Linked DNA regions of Anolis sagrei. The protein of the gene in region 1 purifies or fractionates together with the protein of each later gene. This does not show direct contact. Links are inferred from orthologs where the notes say so. Each region holds a gene or a part of one and is shown in the gene's direction. Other genes may lie near its edges.

The links. The genes of interacting proteins can lie anywhere in the genome.
Region 2: the proteins of KIF22 (region 1) and KPNA4 purify together in Homo sapiens (affinity purification with mass spectrometry; 3 studies listed by BioGRID and IntAct, counting the BioPlex papers as one, with this or other methods). This does not show direct contact. The link is inferred for Anolis sagrei from reciprocal best matches to the Homo sapiens genes KIF22 and KPNA4.

The regions. Positions count from the first base shown.
Region 1 is NC_090026.1:17,135,680-17,139,428, forward strand, and holds the start of KIF22 (kinesin-like protein KIF22), read left to right. Parts: upstream 1-1,090; 5' UTR 1,091-1,232; intron 1,233-3,749. UniProt on the Homo sapiens protein: Kinesin family member that is involved in spindle formation and the movements of chromosomes during mitosis and meiosis. Binds to microtubules and to DNA. Plays a role in congression of laterally attached chromosomes in NDC80-depleted cells.
Region 2 is NC_090023.1:246,816,013-246,819,761, reverse strand, and holds the start of KPNA4 (importin subunit alpha-3), read left to right. Parts: upstream 1-1,557; 5' UTR 1,558-1,797; coding exon 1,798-1,866; intron 1,867-3,749. UniProt on the Homo sapiens protein: Functions in nuclear protein import as an adapter protein for nuclear receptor KPNB1. Binds specifically and directly to substrates containing either a simple or bipartite NLS motif.

The DNA.
Region 1 (3,749 bases):
TTCTGGGCACCACAATTCAAGAGAGATATTGACAAGCTGGAATGTGTCCAGAGGAGGGCGACTAAAATGATCAAGGGTCTGGAGAACAAGCCCTATGAGGAGCGGCTTAAGAAGCTGGGCATGTTTAGCCTGAAAAAGAGAAGGCTGAGAGGAGACATGATAGCCATGTATAAATATGTGAGAGGAAGTCATAGAGAGGAGGGAGTAAGCTTGTTTTCTGGAGACTACGGCACAGTGCAACAATGGCTTCAAACTACAAGAAAGGAGATTCCATCTGAACATGAGGAAGAACTTCCTGACTGTGAGAGCTGTTCAGCAGTGGAACTCTCTGCCCCGGAGTGTGGTGGAGGCTCCTTCTTTGGAGGCTTTTAAACAGAGGCTGGATGGCCATCTGTCAGGGGTGATTTGAATGCAATATTCCTGCTTTTTGGCAGGGAGTTGGACTGGATGGCCCATGAGGTCCCTTCCAACTCTAGGATTCTATGAAAGCTTAATTCTGAGCACAATCCAGGTAACTGAAACACACCTGCTTCAATGGAAACCATCAGGACATCTCTACTGGCAGCCACACTTACCTGGGAGTGAGCCACTTCACTGTGTTGTGGAAGTTACTTTCCTGTCTGAAATCAACCCCTGGGAAGGCTTAATTGCTTAACACGGCTGCATCCCTTCTGTCCTTTTAGGGTTTCTTTAGAAGCACTCTGCACATGATCAGAGTCTACTTGGGCATCACAGATCCCTTGCTTCCAAACAACCAACCATCCAGCCCACAAAAGCCGAGCCCCGAAACAATCGATGGCTCCTTCTCGACGAGAGAACCCAATCGAACTCAAGAGCCGACCCTCCTTCGCGATGGCGCATGCGCTAGATTTGAAACACGCACGACTCGCTTCTTTCCTTCTGCGCATGCGCTATCCGTCTTGTGAACCACTCCTCCACAACATTTCGTATACAGTGCCTCGGAAGAGCCTTCGGAAGTAGTGCGCGTGCGCGGTACTTCCCTCCGTGCTCTGTCTTCACACTGCGCAGGCGTGTTGGCTAACGGCTGTTTCCCGTGCCTTCCTCCCATTGGCCGGTTTTTTCTTTAGGGCGGGACTAGCGCGAATTCCAAACGATTTCCTGAATCCATTTTTGTGTAAGGAAGGAATCGGCTCAGAGTTAAAGAGGGAACAGTGCGGCCTATCTATTGTGAGAGGATCTTCCTGCGCCATCTGTTTTGTTTGGAATCACAGGTATTTCCTTCTGAGTGGGAGAGAGGAGGCGGGTAGGCCTTTCTCCTGATTGGCAGTGTTGGAATTCAACCCCCACACTGCCCAAGTCTGCAGTCCTCAATGAGGAACAGTTAGTTTTAGAATAGGCTTCCCCCCTGACTCCTGAAAGGCAGTTGGATTGTATCTTTCTGTTCTCTCTCTATCTTTTTCTGCTCCCATCCTGATTGGTGGTGTAGAATTGATACTCTTCAGGTTGCATGCCTTTGCTGAAGTCTTCTGCATTTCATCTTTGCACTCAGACTCTCTCTACTTTGTATGTTTGAAGAGATGTGTTTGGAGAGATGTGTTTTGGAAATTAGAAGTTATGGAGTTCTAGAGAAATGTATTTATTTACAACATTTATATGCCGCCCTTCTCACCCCAAAGGGGACTCAGAGCAGCTGACAAGATAAATAAAGCCCTAAACGGTCCCGGCCCAAGCTACCTATCCAACCGCATCTCTGCCTATGAACCCACCAGGTCTTCACTTTTTTGCGGAATACCATTAGAGATGGTACTAGTCTAATGTCCGTAGGAAGGGCGTTCCATAGCCGAGGAGCCACCACCGAGAAGGCCCTATCTCTCGTCCCCGCCAGCCATGCTTGAGAAGCAGGCGGGATCGAGAGCAGGGCCTGCTTCTCAATCATGGCTGGCGGGGACGAGAGATAGGGCCTTCTCGGTGGTGGCTCCTCGGCTGTGGAACGCCCTTCCTACAGACATTAGACTAGCACCATCTCTAATGGTATTCCGCAAAAAAAGTGAAGACCTGGCTGTTTGAGCAGGTGTTCGAATAATTAGTGCAATGATTGGTTAATGAACACTGGAATGGAACAATGGATGACGAATCTGGAACATGTTTTTGATGACGAGACGACAGTGAATGGGTATTGTAGTAACTGTTTATTAATTGTGTAATGTGTTAGGTTGTTACTGTTTCTATACTGTAGCACTGAATTTTCGCTGTTTGTATTTGTTGTGAACCGCTGTGAGTCGCCTTCGGGCTGAGAACAGCGGTATATAAGTAAGGTAAATAAATAATAATAAATAATAAATATTTGTCGTGTCAGGGCAACCAGTCAATTATATTACATTTCTAACAGAACAAAGCAAACAAACAGACAAAATACAAAATTTGTGAGTTTGATAGTTGATTCAATCTCCTTTGATCAGTATCTGGCCACTTGGAGTGCTTCTGGTGTTGCTGCAAGAAGGTCCTCCATTGTGCATGTGGCAGGGCTCAGGTTGCATTGCAGCAGGTGGTCTGTAGTTTGCTCTCCTCCACACTCGCATGTCGTGGATTCCACCCTGTAGCCCCATTTCTTGAGGTTGGCTCTGCATCTTGTGGTGCCAGGGCGCAGTCTGTTCAGTGCCTTCCAAGTCGCCCAGTTTTCTGTGTTCCCAGGGGGGAGTCTCTCATTTGGTGTCAGCCATTGGTTGAGGTTCTGGGTTTGAGCCTGCCACTTTTGGACTCTCACTTGCTGAGGTGTTCCAGTGAGTGTCTCTGTAGAACTTAGAAAACTATTTCTAGATTTAAGTCGTTGACGATTTATTTATTTACAACATTTATATGCCACCCTTCTCACTCCGAAGGGGACTCAGAGCGGCTTACAAGATATATATACATACAATATATTATATTATTAGCATAGTACAATATCAGTATTCAATATTACTATATTGTACTATACCATTATATTGGAATATTTTTAGTAAGATTACATGTAATCTATATAAATAAAAATGCTCTGTTCGTTTGTGGGATTAACATAACTTTTTTACATAACAGTGCGCCGGCCGATCCAGTTTTTAATAATGTCTTGATGTACTGCCACTGTTGTTATTTTGCTTATTGTTTGATTTGCTTAGTATTGCTTAGTATTGCCTAGTGTTATGTTATTTTGCTTATTGTTTGATTTGCTTTGTTGTTGTGATGTTACATTCTCTATTGTATTGTGTTTTGAGGCTTCGGCCTGTGTAAGCCGCATCGAGTCCTCCGGGAGATGCTAGCGGGGTACAAATAAAGTTAATAATAATAATAATAATAATAATAATAATAACTCAAAAACCACTGGACGAATTGACACCAATTTTGGACACAATACATCTCTCAGGCCAACGAGTGACCATCACGCATAAAAACACTAAAAAAAAAACACAGCAGAAGAGACTTAAAAAGCCAACAAAATAAAAAAATACATTTCAATTCATGCACAAAACCACATATATACACAAACACACATATATACACAATTGCTTATTGTGTGTTTTTTTGTTTTTGAGTTTTATTTCAACTGTTTGTATTGATTATTTGTTATTGCTTTTGTTTATTGATGTGCTGTGGGCTTGGCCTCATGTAAGCCACACTGAGTCCCTTGGGGAGATGGTAGCGGGGTACAAATAAAGTATTATTATTATTATTATTATTACACAAATATATACACACACACAAAGCACATATACACAGACTGAGCCACAGCAATGCGTGGCAGGGGACAGCTA
Region 2 (3,749 bases), on another chromosome or scaffold:
CAATAGAGGAGTAGCATTACTTCCCTAGATCTAGACACTATACTCCTATTGATGCAGGTCAAAATCCGATTGGCTTTTTTTGCCGCCACATCACATTGTTGGTTCATGTTTAACTTGTTGTCCATGAGGACTCCAAGATCTTTTTCACACATTGTTGTTGTTGTTGTTCATTCGTTCAGTCATCTGTCTCCGACTCTTTGTGACCTCATGGACCAGCCCACGCCAGAGCTCCCTGTCGGCCGTCACCACCCCCAGCTCCTTCAAGGTCAGTCTAGTCACTTCAAGGATGCCATCCATCCTTCTTGCCCTTGGTCGGCCCCTCTTCCTTTTGCCTTCCACTTTCCCCAGCATAATTGTCTTCTCTAGGCTTTGCTGTCTCCTCATGATGCGGCCAAAGTACTTCAACTTTGTCTTTAGTATCCTTCCCTCCAGTGAGCAGCCGGGCTTTATTTCCTGGAGGATGGACTGGTTGGATCTTCTCGCAGTCCAAGGCACTCTCAGCACTTTCCTCCAACACCACAGCTCAAAAGCATCGATCTTCCTTCGCTCAGCCTTCCCTAAGGTCCAGCTCTCACATCCGTAGGTTACTACAGGGAATACCATGGCTTTGACTAGGCGGATCTTTGTTGCCAGTCTGATGTCTCTGCTCTTTACGATTTTATCGAGACTGGACATTGATCTCCTCCCAAGAAGTAAGCGTCTCCTGATTTCCTGGCTGCACTCTGCATCTGCAGTAATCTTTGCGCCTAGAAATACAAAGTCTGTCACGGCCTCCACATTTTCTCCCTCTATTTTCCAGTTGTGAATCATTCTTGTTGCCATAATCTTGGTTTTTTTTGTTTCGCTGCAACCCAGCTTTTGCGCTTTCTTCTTTCACCTTGATTGTTAATATAGATTGAGTTTATTACTCATTGATTGTTTTGTAATATTGATAAGCTGAGCCAAGTCTACCAGGACTTCGTGAATAAATACCCTGTTTAATGTTTCTTGAAGTGGACTCAGTTATTCAAGAAAGCTCAATCTGCCCAAAAAAAGACCCCAGCAGTTTCGCCCAGACATAGATAGCAGCACGTCAAAGTTTTATTTTAAAGCGTCTGGGCGTAACGGCACATGCATATACAATATATTTTATTACACTATATTATAACATTAGCATAGCACAGGAGACAAGAATACCATAGCATTAATTCTATAGTGTAGAACACCCTACCGGAATTGTGGGAGTTGAAGTCCAAAACACCTGGAGGGCCCAAGTTAGCTCATGCCTGAGGTACACTATACTAAACTGTACGTATCCCACCTTCCTGAGAGTAGGTGTTGGACAAGGCCGGCCTTCCTTCCTAAACGAGACGGGAGCGCAGCTTTCGAGGAGGTCTCCTTGGCGACTGGCCCAAAATGGCGGCCCAGGCCTATCGCCTGAGACGGGCTGAAGAGGAAGTCCCTTTAGGCCCCGCCCCCTCTCGGCTCACGCGCACCTCTCCCTCCCTTCGCCCCTCTCCATCACGGAGCGCTGCCCAATCAGAGCGCGCTGTGGGCGGGAAGAGGCGGGGCTAAGGGGCAAGGGGGCGTGGCTAGGGGCGCCTGACTGCGCGCGAGGCTGGGCCGCTGCTTCCCTTCCTTCCTTCCCTTCCTTCCTTCCTTCCTCTCTCTCGCTCTACCGGCACCAGAGGCGGAAGAGGCGAAGATAGGCCTCAAGGCCTCCTCAAGGCCCCTTCGAAGCAAGGCGACGACAGAGAAGGAGAAGCGGGGGCCCGGCCGGGGAGGGAGGAAGGCCTCGCTCCCTACCTTCCTGCCGCCATGGCCGACAACGAAAAGGCGGACAACCAACGGCTGAAGAACTTCAAGAACAAAGGCCGCGACCTGGAGGTAGAGTAGCGCCGCTCTCTCCTGAGGGAAGGAGGGAAGGAGGGGGTTAAGAGAGAGGGCTTGGCTTGCTTGCTTGGTGAGGGCCTGTGGCTTTATAATCCGCGGCGGGGCCTGGTTTCCCTCACCCGCCGGCCGGCCTCGTCCTTCTTCCTCCTCCTCCGCCGCCAGAGGGAGGGTGGGGCCCGCTGGGATTCGCCTGCGAGGCCGCGGCCTAGGCCTCCGCGCGCAGTGACGACGCCGCCGCTTTCCTGCTTCCCTTTTTCATATCTCTTCGAATCGCCTTGTGATTCATAATATCAGAGAGAGCAGGCTTGGGCAAACTTCGGCCCCCGAGAGTGTTTTGGACTTCAACTCCCACCATTCCTAACAGCCTCAGGACCTTTCCTTTTCCCTCTCAGCCGCTTATGAGTCCAAAACACTCTGAGGGCCGAAGTTTGCCCAGACCTGAGATAATAATAGTAATTATAATTATATAAATAAAAATGTAACGTTCATAGAATCAGAGTTCGAAGAGAACTCATGGGCCATCCAGTCCAACCCCATTCTGCCAAGAAAGAAATTCTACCTAAATTTTAGAAATAACTTCGTGATTATGAGAGCTGTTCAACAGGGAAACAGGCTGCTTTGGAGAGCAATGGACTTTTCATCTTCAGGTGTCTTTAAGCAGAGGTGGTATGGCCATCTTTTAGGCACACTATAGTTATGTATTCTTGCACAGCAGTGAGTTGCACTGGCATAGCCCTTGTGGTCCCTTCCAATTGTAAGATCCTATGATTTAATTATTCCAAATAGAAAGAGTCCACCACTTTCTGAGGCAATCTATTTCACTGCTTAACGGTTCTTATAGTAGAAACTACTTATAGACTCAAAGAGTTGGAAAAGACCTCATGGGCCATCCAGTCCAACCCCATTCTGCTAAGAAGCAGGAATATTGCATTCAAAGCACCCCTGACAGATGGCCATCCAGCCTCTGTTTAAAAGCTTCCAAAGAAGGAGCCTCCACCACACTCTGGGGCAGAGAGTTCCACTGCTGAACGGCTCTCACAGACAGGAAGTTCTTCCTCATGTTCAGATGGAATCTCCTTTCTTGTAGTTTGAAGCCATTGTTCCGCATCCTAGTCTCCAAGGAAGCAGAAAACAAGCTTGCTCCCTCCTCCCTGTGGCTTCCTCTCACATATTTATACATGGCTATCATATCCCCTCTCAGCCTTCTCTTCTTCATGCGAAACATGCCCAACTCCTTAAGCCACTCCTCATAGGCTTGTTCTCCAGACCCTTGATCATTTTAGTCTCCCTCCTCTGGACACATTCCAGCTTGTCAATATCTCTCTTGAGTTGTGGTGCCCAGAATTGGACACAATATTCCAGCCGCTCCTCATACTGCTCTCGAGCCAGGCATCGTCCCCCCATTCGTTTGTGGGATTAACAGATCAACTCCCACCATTCCTAACAGCCTCAGGCCCTTTCCTTTTCCCTCTCAGTCGCTTATGAGTCCAAAACACTCTGAGGGCCGAAGTTTGCCCAGACCTGAGATAATAATAATAATAATCTATATAAATAAAAATGTAACGTTCATAGAATCATAGAATCAAAGAGTTGGAAGAGACCTCATGGGCCATCCAGTCCAACCCCATTTTGCCAAGAAGCAGGAATATTGCATTCAAATCACCCTTGACAGATGGCCATCCAGCCTCTGTTTAAAAGCTTCCAAAGAAGGAGCCTCCACCACACTCCGCAGCAGAGAGTTCCACTGCTGAACGGCTCTCACAGTCAGGAAGTTAGGTTCTTGTGGGTTTTTTCGGGCCATAGAGCCATGTTCTAGAGGCATTTCTCCTGACGTTTCGCCTACATCTATGGCAAGCATCCTCAGAGGTAGTGAGGAT